2 linked regions of the Arabidopsis thaliana genome follow. The protein of the gene in region 1 interacts with the protein of each later gene in a biochemical or structural test. Each region holds a gene or a part of one and is shown on either strand. Other genes may lie near its edges.

What was found. The genes of interacting proteins can lie anywhere in the genome.
Region 2: the proteins of BRL2 (region 1) and LHCB4.1 form a complex in vitro, tested with the Arabidopsis thaliana proteins (one study listed by BioGRID).

The regions. Positions count from the first base shown.
Region 1 is NC_003071.7:440,103-446,282, reverse strand, and holds BRL2 (BRI1-like 2), read left to right. Parts: upstream 1-1,958; 5' UTR 1,959-2,046; coding exon 2,047-5,478; 3' UTR 5,479-5,659; downstream 5,660-6,180. UniProt on the Arabidopsis thaliana protein: Receptor with a serine/threonine-protein kinase activity, which may transduce extracellular spatial and temporal signals into downstream cell differentiation responses in provascular and procambial cells.
Region 2 is NC_003076.8:206,906-211,083, reverse strand, and holds LHCB4.1 (light harvesting complex photosystem II), read right to left. Parts: upstream 2,219-4,178; 5' UTR 2,001-2,218; coding exon 1,491-2,000; intron 1,204-1,490; coding exon 841-1,203; 3' UTR 536-840; downstream 1-535. Other genes in the region: AIRP2 (RING/U-box superfamily protein), read right to left, coding at 2,685-2,895, 2,983-3,217, 3,315-3,381, 3,481-3,631.

The DNA.
Region 1 (6,180 bases):
GCCATGGGGAGAAGTCAATCTTTGTGGTATACTGTATTTACTCACTACTCATACAAAATTGCAAATTAGTCTGATTTCGATTGGAATTACTTGTTGAGCGGTCAAATAACTTGACGTTCAAGAGAATACAGAACAAAATTCATACAAAACAGATATAAGGATTAGTGGTAGTGAAAAGAAGAATTTACATAAAGAATTATTTAAAAATATTGGGGCCAAAGGAATCATAACCTCTCATGCCACTAAACCACGAGCTAATTGATGTTGTTTCTTTTGTGGGGCTTTTTCTCTATTACTCTCCACTATTCGGTCCTTTATTTATTAAACAGAATCAATAAAATATACTCTATAGTCTTCAACAGTATGATATATTACAAATTTATAACACACAAAATCACACTATAGGTGATAAGATTTGCACTATTAATTGCAATGGAAAAATGTTCTAAGAATAATTATTTCTTACTAGAAACTATTGATCTTAAAGAAATAGTCTCTTGTGCAATTGAATGGTAGCTAGGGTATAACCAATTGAAACATTTTAAAATATGACTTGTGTATATTTTTTTCTTTAATATGTGTATATGATTATTTATCAATGAACATTTCAAAATAGCATTTTCTCGTTGGCTGAAATAATCAAGCTAATATTTTGCTTAAGTCATACAAATCTACTCATAAACTTGGTGGAAGAAGGCAGTGTAATGATGAAAAGGATGGAGTGTGTGACATGGAACATGATATAAAGGCTCATCTATGGCATATTATATGAAACTAAACTAATTAAAATCACATAAAAATGGAAAAAGAAGTGAGCAACATTATGGTTACACCTTAAAGTTTGTTATTGTAATTTGTAAAGTCACTTCTCTGTTCATTCCCCCACGCCTCTGCCTCGACAGTGAACATTGGATCAACCAAATTTTACAAAAGACCATTTCATATGCGATGCATATTATGACTAAATTGGGTCCCAATTATTTTGACCACACACCCCACCATATGAAATATTTGTATATCGGTTTGGAATAATTTCTCCCAAAATTCCTTTCAATATAATTGCCATTCTTTTGTAAAAGGTTTTGTTTTTTTTTTAAATAAAGTATTAATACAATACACAACAAAAACAAAACAAATTATCCCAAAATTCCAAACTTGATGTGATTATAGACTAGAATTTCTATTATGTTCGTTTTTATTAGTGTTGTCACTATATCACTAACTATATTCATATTCAGTTGCTTGTCAATTATTTTTTTTTGCCAGTCTTAGATTTATTATTTATTGCACTGTTACATAGACGATTCTACAACGGACAATTCCTTCCGACTCTTATTAGATCTAGTTGCTTGTCATCTAATATTTAAATTATTTTAAGAAATGTTATACAACTAATATTTAAATCATTTTAAGAAATGTTATACAACAATAGTATATAGCTAAATTTTTAAATGGAAGTTTATATAATACTACACTTTTTCTTCATTGAAATTTGTGAAACATCTCATAGATACAATTCCCATTTAGAAAATTAGCAGTGATCATAATTCTTTCTAAGGTTCAAAATCCCCACATGGAGCTTTAATGAATTAAAATTATGAAACCATTAGAAACAAATAGATATAGGACTAAATGAAACTGAAAACATATTTTTCTAAATATTAGAGTTTTATTCTATAAACTGAACTTAATTTTTTTGATTATCAAACAACATGTATTCTATTAGATTAATAATGTCACTTACACAAATCACTACAAGTCATGATCACAATTCCACAAAATCATAAGATTGATCATAACCATTTAATAAATCAATCATCTATTAGAAAAACATCATATGTAAAAAAAAACGATTCGACAAAGATGTTTTAAAAATAATAAGCATCAACAATTAATAAAACTTAATAAATTACCTAAAAGCAGCTTTTTCTTTTCTTCAAAAAAAGCCCTTTTTCTTCCTCTGCTTTAGCATCGTCTCTTTATCATCTAAATGTTTCAACTTACTTACTTCTCCTTCTCCATTCAAACTCAAAAAACCTCCCTCCAATGACTACTTCACCAATCCGGGTTCGGATCCGGACTCGGATCCAAATCTCCTTCATCTTCCTCCTTACCCATCTCTCACAATCTTCCTCCTCCGACCAATCTTCACTCAAAACCGACTCATTATCACTCCTCTCTTTCAAAACAATGATCCAAGATGATCCAAACAACATTCTCTCAAACTGGTCACCTCGTAAATCCCCTTGTCAATTCTCCGGCGTCACTTGTCTCGGAGGAAGAGTCACCGAGATTAATCTCTCCGGTAGTGGCCTCTCCGGAATCGTCTCCTTCAATGCTTTCACCTCTCTTGATTCTCTCTCTGTTCTCAAACTCTCAGAGAACTTCTTCGTCTTAAACTCAACCTCTCTTCTTCTTCTTCCTTTAACCCTAACTCATCTCGAACTCTCTTCCTCCGGTTTAATCGGAACCCTCCCTGAAAATTTCTTCTCCAAATACTCAAATCTTATTTCCATCACCCTCTCTTACAATAACTTCACCGGAAAGTTACCTAATGATCTTTTCTTAAGCAGCAAGAAACTCCAAACCCTTGATCTTTCTTACAACAACATTACCGGTCCAATCTCCGGTTTAACCATTCCTCTTTCTTCTTGCGTCTCCATGACCTATCTCGATTTCTCCGGTAACAGTATCTCCGGCTATATCTCTGACTCACTCATCAACTGCACCAACCTCAAAAGCTTGAATCTTTCTTACAACAACTTCGATGGGCAGATTCCAAAATCTTTCGGTGAGCTTAAACTCTTACAAAGTTTGGATCTTTCTCATAACCGACTCACCGGTTGGATCCCGCCGGAGATCGGAGATACTTGCCGGTCATTACAAAACCTCCGGCTTTCTTACAACAACTTCACTGGTGTGATCCCTGAGTCGTTGTCCTCATGTTCTTGGCTACAAAGTCTTGACCTTTCAAACAACAACATCTCCGGTCCGTTTCCGAACACTATCCTCCGGAGTTTTGGATCTCTTCAAATCTTACTTCTCAGCAACAACTTAATCTCCGGTGACTTTCCGACTTCAATCTCTGCTTGTAAGAGCTTGAGAATCGCTGACTTCAGCTCGAATCGATTCTCCGGTGTGATTCCACCGGATTTATGTCCCGGAGCAGCTTCATTAGAAGAGCTAAGACTCCCGGATAATCTCGTCACCGGAGAGATTCCACCGGCGATATCTCAATGCTCTGAGCTACGAACGATTGATCTCAGTCTCAATTATCTCAACGGTACAATCCCACCGGAGATCGGAAACCTCCAGAAACTCGAGCAATTCATAGCTTGGTACAACAACATCGCCGGAGAAATCCCACCGGAGATCGGAAAACTACAAAACCTAAAAGATTTGATCCTCAACAACAATCAACTCACCGGAGAAATCCCACCGGAATTTTTCAATTGCAGTAACATCGAATGGGTCTCATTCACAAGCAACAGATTAACCGGAGAAGTGCCTAAAGATTTCGGAATCCTTTCCCGGTTAGCCGTTCTTCAGCTCGGTAACAACAATTTCACCGGAGAAATCCCACCGGAGCTAGGAAAATGCACAACTCTGGTTTGGCTTGATCTTAACACAAACCACTTAACCGGTGAAATCCCTCCCCGGTTAGGTCGTCAACCCGGTTCAAAAGCACTTTCCGGTTTACTCTCAGGAAACACAATGGCTTTTGTTAGAAACGTTGGAAACTCATGTAAAGGTGTTGGAGGTTTGGTTGAGTTCTCAGGGATCAGACCAGAGAGGCTTCTTCAGATTCCATCTCTTAAAAGCTGTGACTTCACAAGAATGTATTCAGGTCCAATTTTGAGTCTATTCACAAGATATCAAACCATTGAGTATCTTGATCTTTCTTATAATCAGCTTAGAGGTAAAATCCCTGATGAGATTGGAGAAATGATTGCTCTTCAAGTTCTTGAGCTTTCTCATAATCAACTCTCCGGCGAGATTCCGTTTACGATTGGTCAGCTCAAGAATCTCGGTGTTTTCGATGCTTCGGATAATCGGTTGCAGGGTCAAATCCCTGAATCTTTCTCGAATTTGTCTTTCTTGGTGCAGATTGATTTGTCGAATAACGAGTTAACTGGTCCGATTCCTCAGAGAGGTCAGTTAAGCACGCTTCCGGCGACTCAGTACGCGAATAATCCGGGGCTTTGCGGTGTTCCTTTACCGGAATGTAAGAATGGAAACAATCAGCTTCCTGCTGGAACAGAGGAAGGGAAACGTGCTAAGCACGGAACTAGGGCAGCTTCTTGGGCGAATAGCATTGTTTTGGGAGTGTTGATTTCCGCTGCTTCGGTTTGTATTTTAATCGTTTGGGCGATTGCGGTTCGTGCGAGGAGGAGAGATGCGGATGATGCGAAGATGCTTCACAGTTTGCAGGCGGTTAATTCCGCCACTACATGGAAGATAGAGAAGGAGAAAGAGCCGTTGAGTATTAATGTAGCGACGTTTCAGCGACAGTTGAGAAAGCTTAAGTTTTCGCAGCTTATCGAGGCGACAAACGGATTCTCAGCCGCGAGTATGATCGGACACGGCGGATTCGGTGAGGTTTTTAAGGCGACGCTTAAAGACGGGTCTTCCGTGGCGATCAAGAAGCTCATTAGACTTAGTTGTCAAGGAGATCGAGAGTTCATGGCAGAAATGGAAACCTTAGGGAAGATCAAACACCGAAACCTCGTACCGCTCTTGGGATACTGTAAAATCGGGGAAGAGAGATTGCTTGTTTACGAGTTTATGCAATACGGAAGCCTCGAGGAGGTGCTTCACGGACCAAGAACAGGCGAAAAACGGAGGATTTTAGGTTGGGAAGAGAGGAAAAAGATTGCAAAAGGAGCAGCAAAAGGACTTTGTTTCTTGCATCACAATTGTATCCCTCACATAATCCACCGCGACATGAAATCGAGCAACGTGCTTCTCGATCAAGACATGGAAGCAAGAGTTTCAGATTTCGGAATGGCGAGACTGATCAGCGCATTAGACACACATTTGAGTGTAAGTACCTTGGCAGGCACGCCAGGTTACGTACCACCAGAGTATTACCAAAGTTTCAGATGTACCGCAAAAGGCGACGTGTACTCAATCGGAGTAGTGATGCTCGAGATCTTAAGCGGGAAAAGACCAACGGATAAAGAAGAGTTTGGTGATACGAATTTAGTAGGTTGGTCGAAGATGAAGGCAAGAGAAGGGAAACACATGGAAGTGATTGATGAAGACCTTCTAAAAGAAGGTTCTTCGGAGTCTCTGAATGAGAAAGAAGGTTTTGAAGGAGGAGTGATTGTGAAAGAAATGTTGAGGTATTTGGAGATAGCGTTACGGTGCGTTGACGATTTCCCATCAAAGAGACCTAATATGTTACAAGTTGTTGCTTCGTTGAGAGAACTTCGTGGAAGTGAAAATAATAGTCACAGTCACAGTAACAGCTTGTAACAACATGAAGATCTCTGTTTTTTTTTGTTTTTCTGGCTTTTTCAATGCATTTTTTTTTCCTGTGAGAATGTGTATGTGTGGTTGATCAATGATTAAAATTTCATGATGTATCAAGACTTAATTAATGTAATTTAAATTCTGATTCCTTTAATAAATAACTATGCAGATTATAACAAATCAGAGTCTTAGTTGGTGAATTGTTCTTTATTACCGAGTGTCGTTAGCTCAATTGGTAAAGACCGTAAACGAAGCTTAGAGAACGCCGATTTGAGTAACGCTTGAAACGAAACTAATATTACACGATGTGGTTTCGTGCATGAAAGGATTACCGACATTGGCCCAGAACTTCCTGGTATTAGAAAAAAAAAAAAAAAAAAATTGTTCTTTATTAAACGCTCGAATACACACGATTAGGCTTTGGATAGAGAACATACAAATGGGCTCAACAACTGAAGTTTCAAAATTATATTTGGGCCATAAAGAACTATTTAGAATATAGAAACATTAGGCCCATAATGACTCTTTCTCCTTCAGGCCTATGAACATCTAACACTATAAGACTATACATTCGTGAGTAGAATATTTTTTTTTGTGAGAATAGTATTTCAAACCACAAAAGAGAATATATTTCAATGTGTTACTTCATTAGTATGTGTGAATTTATACTTGTTGATGTGAATCAAGTAGGTGGTTGTCTAGTAA
Region 2 (4,178 bases), on another chromosome or scaffold:
CAGATTAGTCATACTATCAAAAAAATTAAAATTAGTATTTTGTAACGTCACAAAGATTACTCATACAGTTATGATTTTTTTATATAAAATTACTGTATGTTTTGCTTAACGTCATCATTTTTGTTATATTGTCCGGATTATCCATTTTTGATCGTTGAACCAGCCAATTCTATATTCATAATTGATTATGACGAACCTCATTCCTCAATGAATATTTTTCTTCAAAAGAATATTAGAATTACAATCAATTCATCGAATCTCCACGTTCAATAGTTTGAAAACATTTTTTGTGGTTGTTTCTTCAGTGCATACGAGCAAGTAATTGAACCTGCTTTTTTTTTTTTCCTAAACTAGTAATTGAACCTGCTTGTTATGTGTCATAATCAACGACAAAAATAATAATTCAATGTCCTCCCAAATTACGGAACAGTGACAGTGAGACACGGAATCAATTTCAAGGAGACTTCACAAGACAAGTCTCCCATGTTCATCCAAATCCCACGCGGTGTGTGACTATCCTTTTTTTTTTTTTTTTGTCTGTGGACTTATTTGTTTTTCTGTACGGTTCTCCTTTTTCATTGTCCAAATCAAGAAAAAATAATCACAACATAACTAATGGGTCGGTCTTGTACTCCTGCTATTGGGCCAATCTGTATATGCGACAAAAATACATTTTGAAAATGTACGACGAGTAGGTATAGTAAATAAGGAGAAGCCCAATTTAATGTCATGGGCCAAACATGTAAATAAACCAAACAAGCAAAAGCCCAAAGTCGATTCAGTATCATCATAGCTCTGTTTTTACATAAGTTACAAATAGAATCTCACATGATAATGATTTTAAGATGAGGAGAAGGTATCGATGATGGTGGTGTGGAGTGGATCACTGAGGTGAGTAGCCCAATTGTTGAGTGGACCTTTACCTGTTGCAGCCGCTTGAACCGCGAATCCCAAGAAGGCGACCATCGCAAGACGTGCATGCTTGATCTCAGCTAACTGAAGTTGAGCAGTCTTCTCCGGGTCAGCCGCTAAACCTAGCGGGTCAAAGAACTTGCCTCCGGGGTATAAACGCTTCTCCGAATCAAGCTCGGCGTTGCGCTGGAACTCGATGTAGCCGATCACTAACACCTCGATCCATATCAATGTCGAGATCGAGAAAGGTAATGGCTGCCCCAAGTAGGACGATCCATCTACAAGCTCCACCTGATTGAATAACAACATTTCAACTAATATTTAAATATCACTCATTGAACACTAGACTTGAATATTCTTGACTGAACAGAAACTCAAACAGTCCAATGCTAACGCAAACTGTAAGAAAGAGAGAGAGACAGACGCCAAAGCAAACGCTAAATCAACTAAATTGTACATACATTTCTATCTGAGTCGCAAACAAACGCAAACGCAACTATTTGAATACTAATTTATTAGCATCTTCGAAATAACTAACTTATAACCGATTATCCAAGTGGAGAAGGGAGTGGCGTTACCTTGCCAGCGTCTTGCCATGTAACGCCGGTAAGCCATTCGACGGAGAGAGCGCCGAGAGTAGCGAGCATCGCCCACCGTCCGTGGATGAGTTCGCATTCCCTGAATCTCTGGATTCCGAACACCTCACTGTACGGCTGAAACGGCGTCGATTTGGCGTCGGCAGCTTCCGTACGGGTTCCGATCACGTCTCCGGCCAAGTTCTTAGCCAGATTCTGGTCTAGTGAATCGATATCGAATTGAAGATACTCGGCCGGTTTGCCTAAACCGAAGGGATCAAAACCGTAATCTCCAACCAAGGAACCATCAAGCCAGTCAGGAGAAATGGCGCCTGGGTACCAAAGAGGCCGGTCCGTAGTCACCGTCTTTTTGGCACTCTTTTTGGGAGCTGCCTTCTTCTTTCCGAAACCGAACACGGCTGTGAACCGACCTGAACCGGGATGGATACCGGGAGCCACCCGAGTACCCATGATGGAAGAAGCAGCTGCAGCAGCGGCGGATGTTGCGGCCATCTCCGGCTAATTGGGTTTTGTGATATTCAGAAGATAGAGAAGAAAGATCCGTTTCTTGATACACGATTATAGATGCGTGGAGGTGAGTTTCGGAGCTGGCCTATCTTGGAAAGACGATTATGACCGTTGGATCGATTCACAAATCCATCTGACGGTGAGTAGGATTACTAATCTTATCTATTAAACTCTGCGTTATCTGGTGATGTTTCAAGTCCATTGGCAATAAAATCTAGATGAGGTACAATCTGATTGGGTCAAATAATTTCTTACCCCAGTTAGAAGAAGCCACGTGTACTGCGGTCTTGTGCTTCACTCAAATTGCTGGTTTCCGGTTCAGCCAATTCGATCCATACCGAAACCAAATTACTCCCCAAAACGATCAAAACAAGTCGGTTTGACTGAAACACCAATCGGTTACTGTAATTCATAGTCAGATAGACAGATACTAATTTAAACGAACCAAAATGTGATTAAGTACCCTTAATCAGCAAATATGATATCGAATTTTTGATCTAAATGTCAATAACCAATGGTTGTTATATACAAACCCAAATCTGAGACTATAGAAAGATGAAAAACCAACTAAAAACACATAAATATTATATACAAAGTGGACATAAATAGATGAAATTTGTTTGAAAGAAATTGCTATGTGCATAACAAGAAACAGAGAGAATGTAATGTTCACCGAGGAAGAGGAGCATAAGGGACAAGATTTGGATCAGAAGTAACGAGAGGCAACTTGTCAATGTATATCAACAACCTCTTCAGATTCTCCTTGTAAATCGCTGGTAAATCTGCAATCTCGGCGCTACAAGTGTATATCCATAGATCACCAGAATTCACTCTTTTCAAGCTGCCTCGACAGAACGGGCACGACTGTGACCGTGCACGCCTATTCCAAACAAGAGATTCTATAACTTGTAAGAAAAAGGCTGATGAATGGTGAGAGTGAGTGAAAAGAAGGAAAAGCTTTATATACCAGTTTCTGTAGCAGTTTATACACATGGAGTGATTGCACGTAGGAAGAACAACTTTGTTTCGAATCTCCAAGCAGATTCCACACTCTTCTTCCCTCTCCAAATCGATCTCCGACATCTTTCCTTTATCTGTTCTGTCCTTTTTACGGTATCTTTTGTCGCATATCTCCTTCTGTTTCCTTTCTTCTACATCGGTGATCCCTCCATGAAGTTGCAATAGCGAAGGAAACAACACATCTGCCCAACAACATCCATTGCTAGTCAGAAAAAAACATATCGTCTGGTCTAATCTTATACCTTTAGATTAAGAGAGAATAAGTGATTAACAGATTACCATAGAATTCTCTGATACTAGTTTTGCGTTCATGTAGCGACATTGTGGTCTTCCCATCAACATATGCCTATAAATAAAAAACAGAGAATCACATATCAGGCAGACAAGAACATTGTGATCTTGAAGATCCAGTAGCAATAAAACAGCAGGAAAATTAATAAGAGACCTTATAAATAAGGATCCTAAGCAAGCCCAAAGCGCCAGCGAAATGACAATCAGTCCACTGAAGAAGGAAGAGAAAGAGATGAGCCGCCGGGCTGTAAGATAATCTCATCTGAACGTAGCCACCATCATACTCCTCTGGGTACTCTGACGCCCTACACACACATAGTTCATTTTTTTTTAATCATTTTGATTCAATGATTGGTGAGATTAGTACGCAACATGAACATGTTGCTTCACAGCTTAATCCAAGTATACCAAGTCAACTTAGGATAGCATCAGAGACTATATACGACGAAAGGAAAAAGAATTGACCACTATAGATAGATTTTGTGTGATCTGACCAAAAGGTGGTGGTGGCGTCTGAGACTTGCTAAGGAATAAATTGGAATTTATGAGCTCGCGTAAACGCAAAGTCTTAAATTCAATATGACATCAGCACACATAAGACCCAGCAGACAACAGAGATACAGATTCACAAGTATCAAAAACTGATTATCCTCTGGAAACTTCAGTAGAAGTAAAAAAACAATCTGACCTATCGAATCGGAAGAGACAAAAATCAGCAACTCAAGCAAAGGGAAAACCGAAGTACCAACTAAATATGGATTTAACCACAGCATCAAACAAATTTATGAGGCAAATCAACCACTCTCGACTAAGAACACGATCAGATTCTACCAACACATCGAAACATCAAAA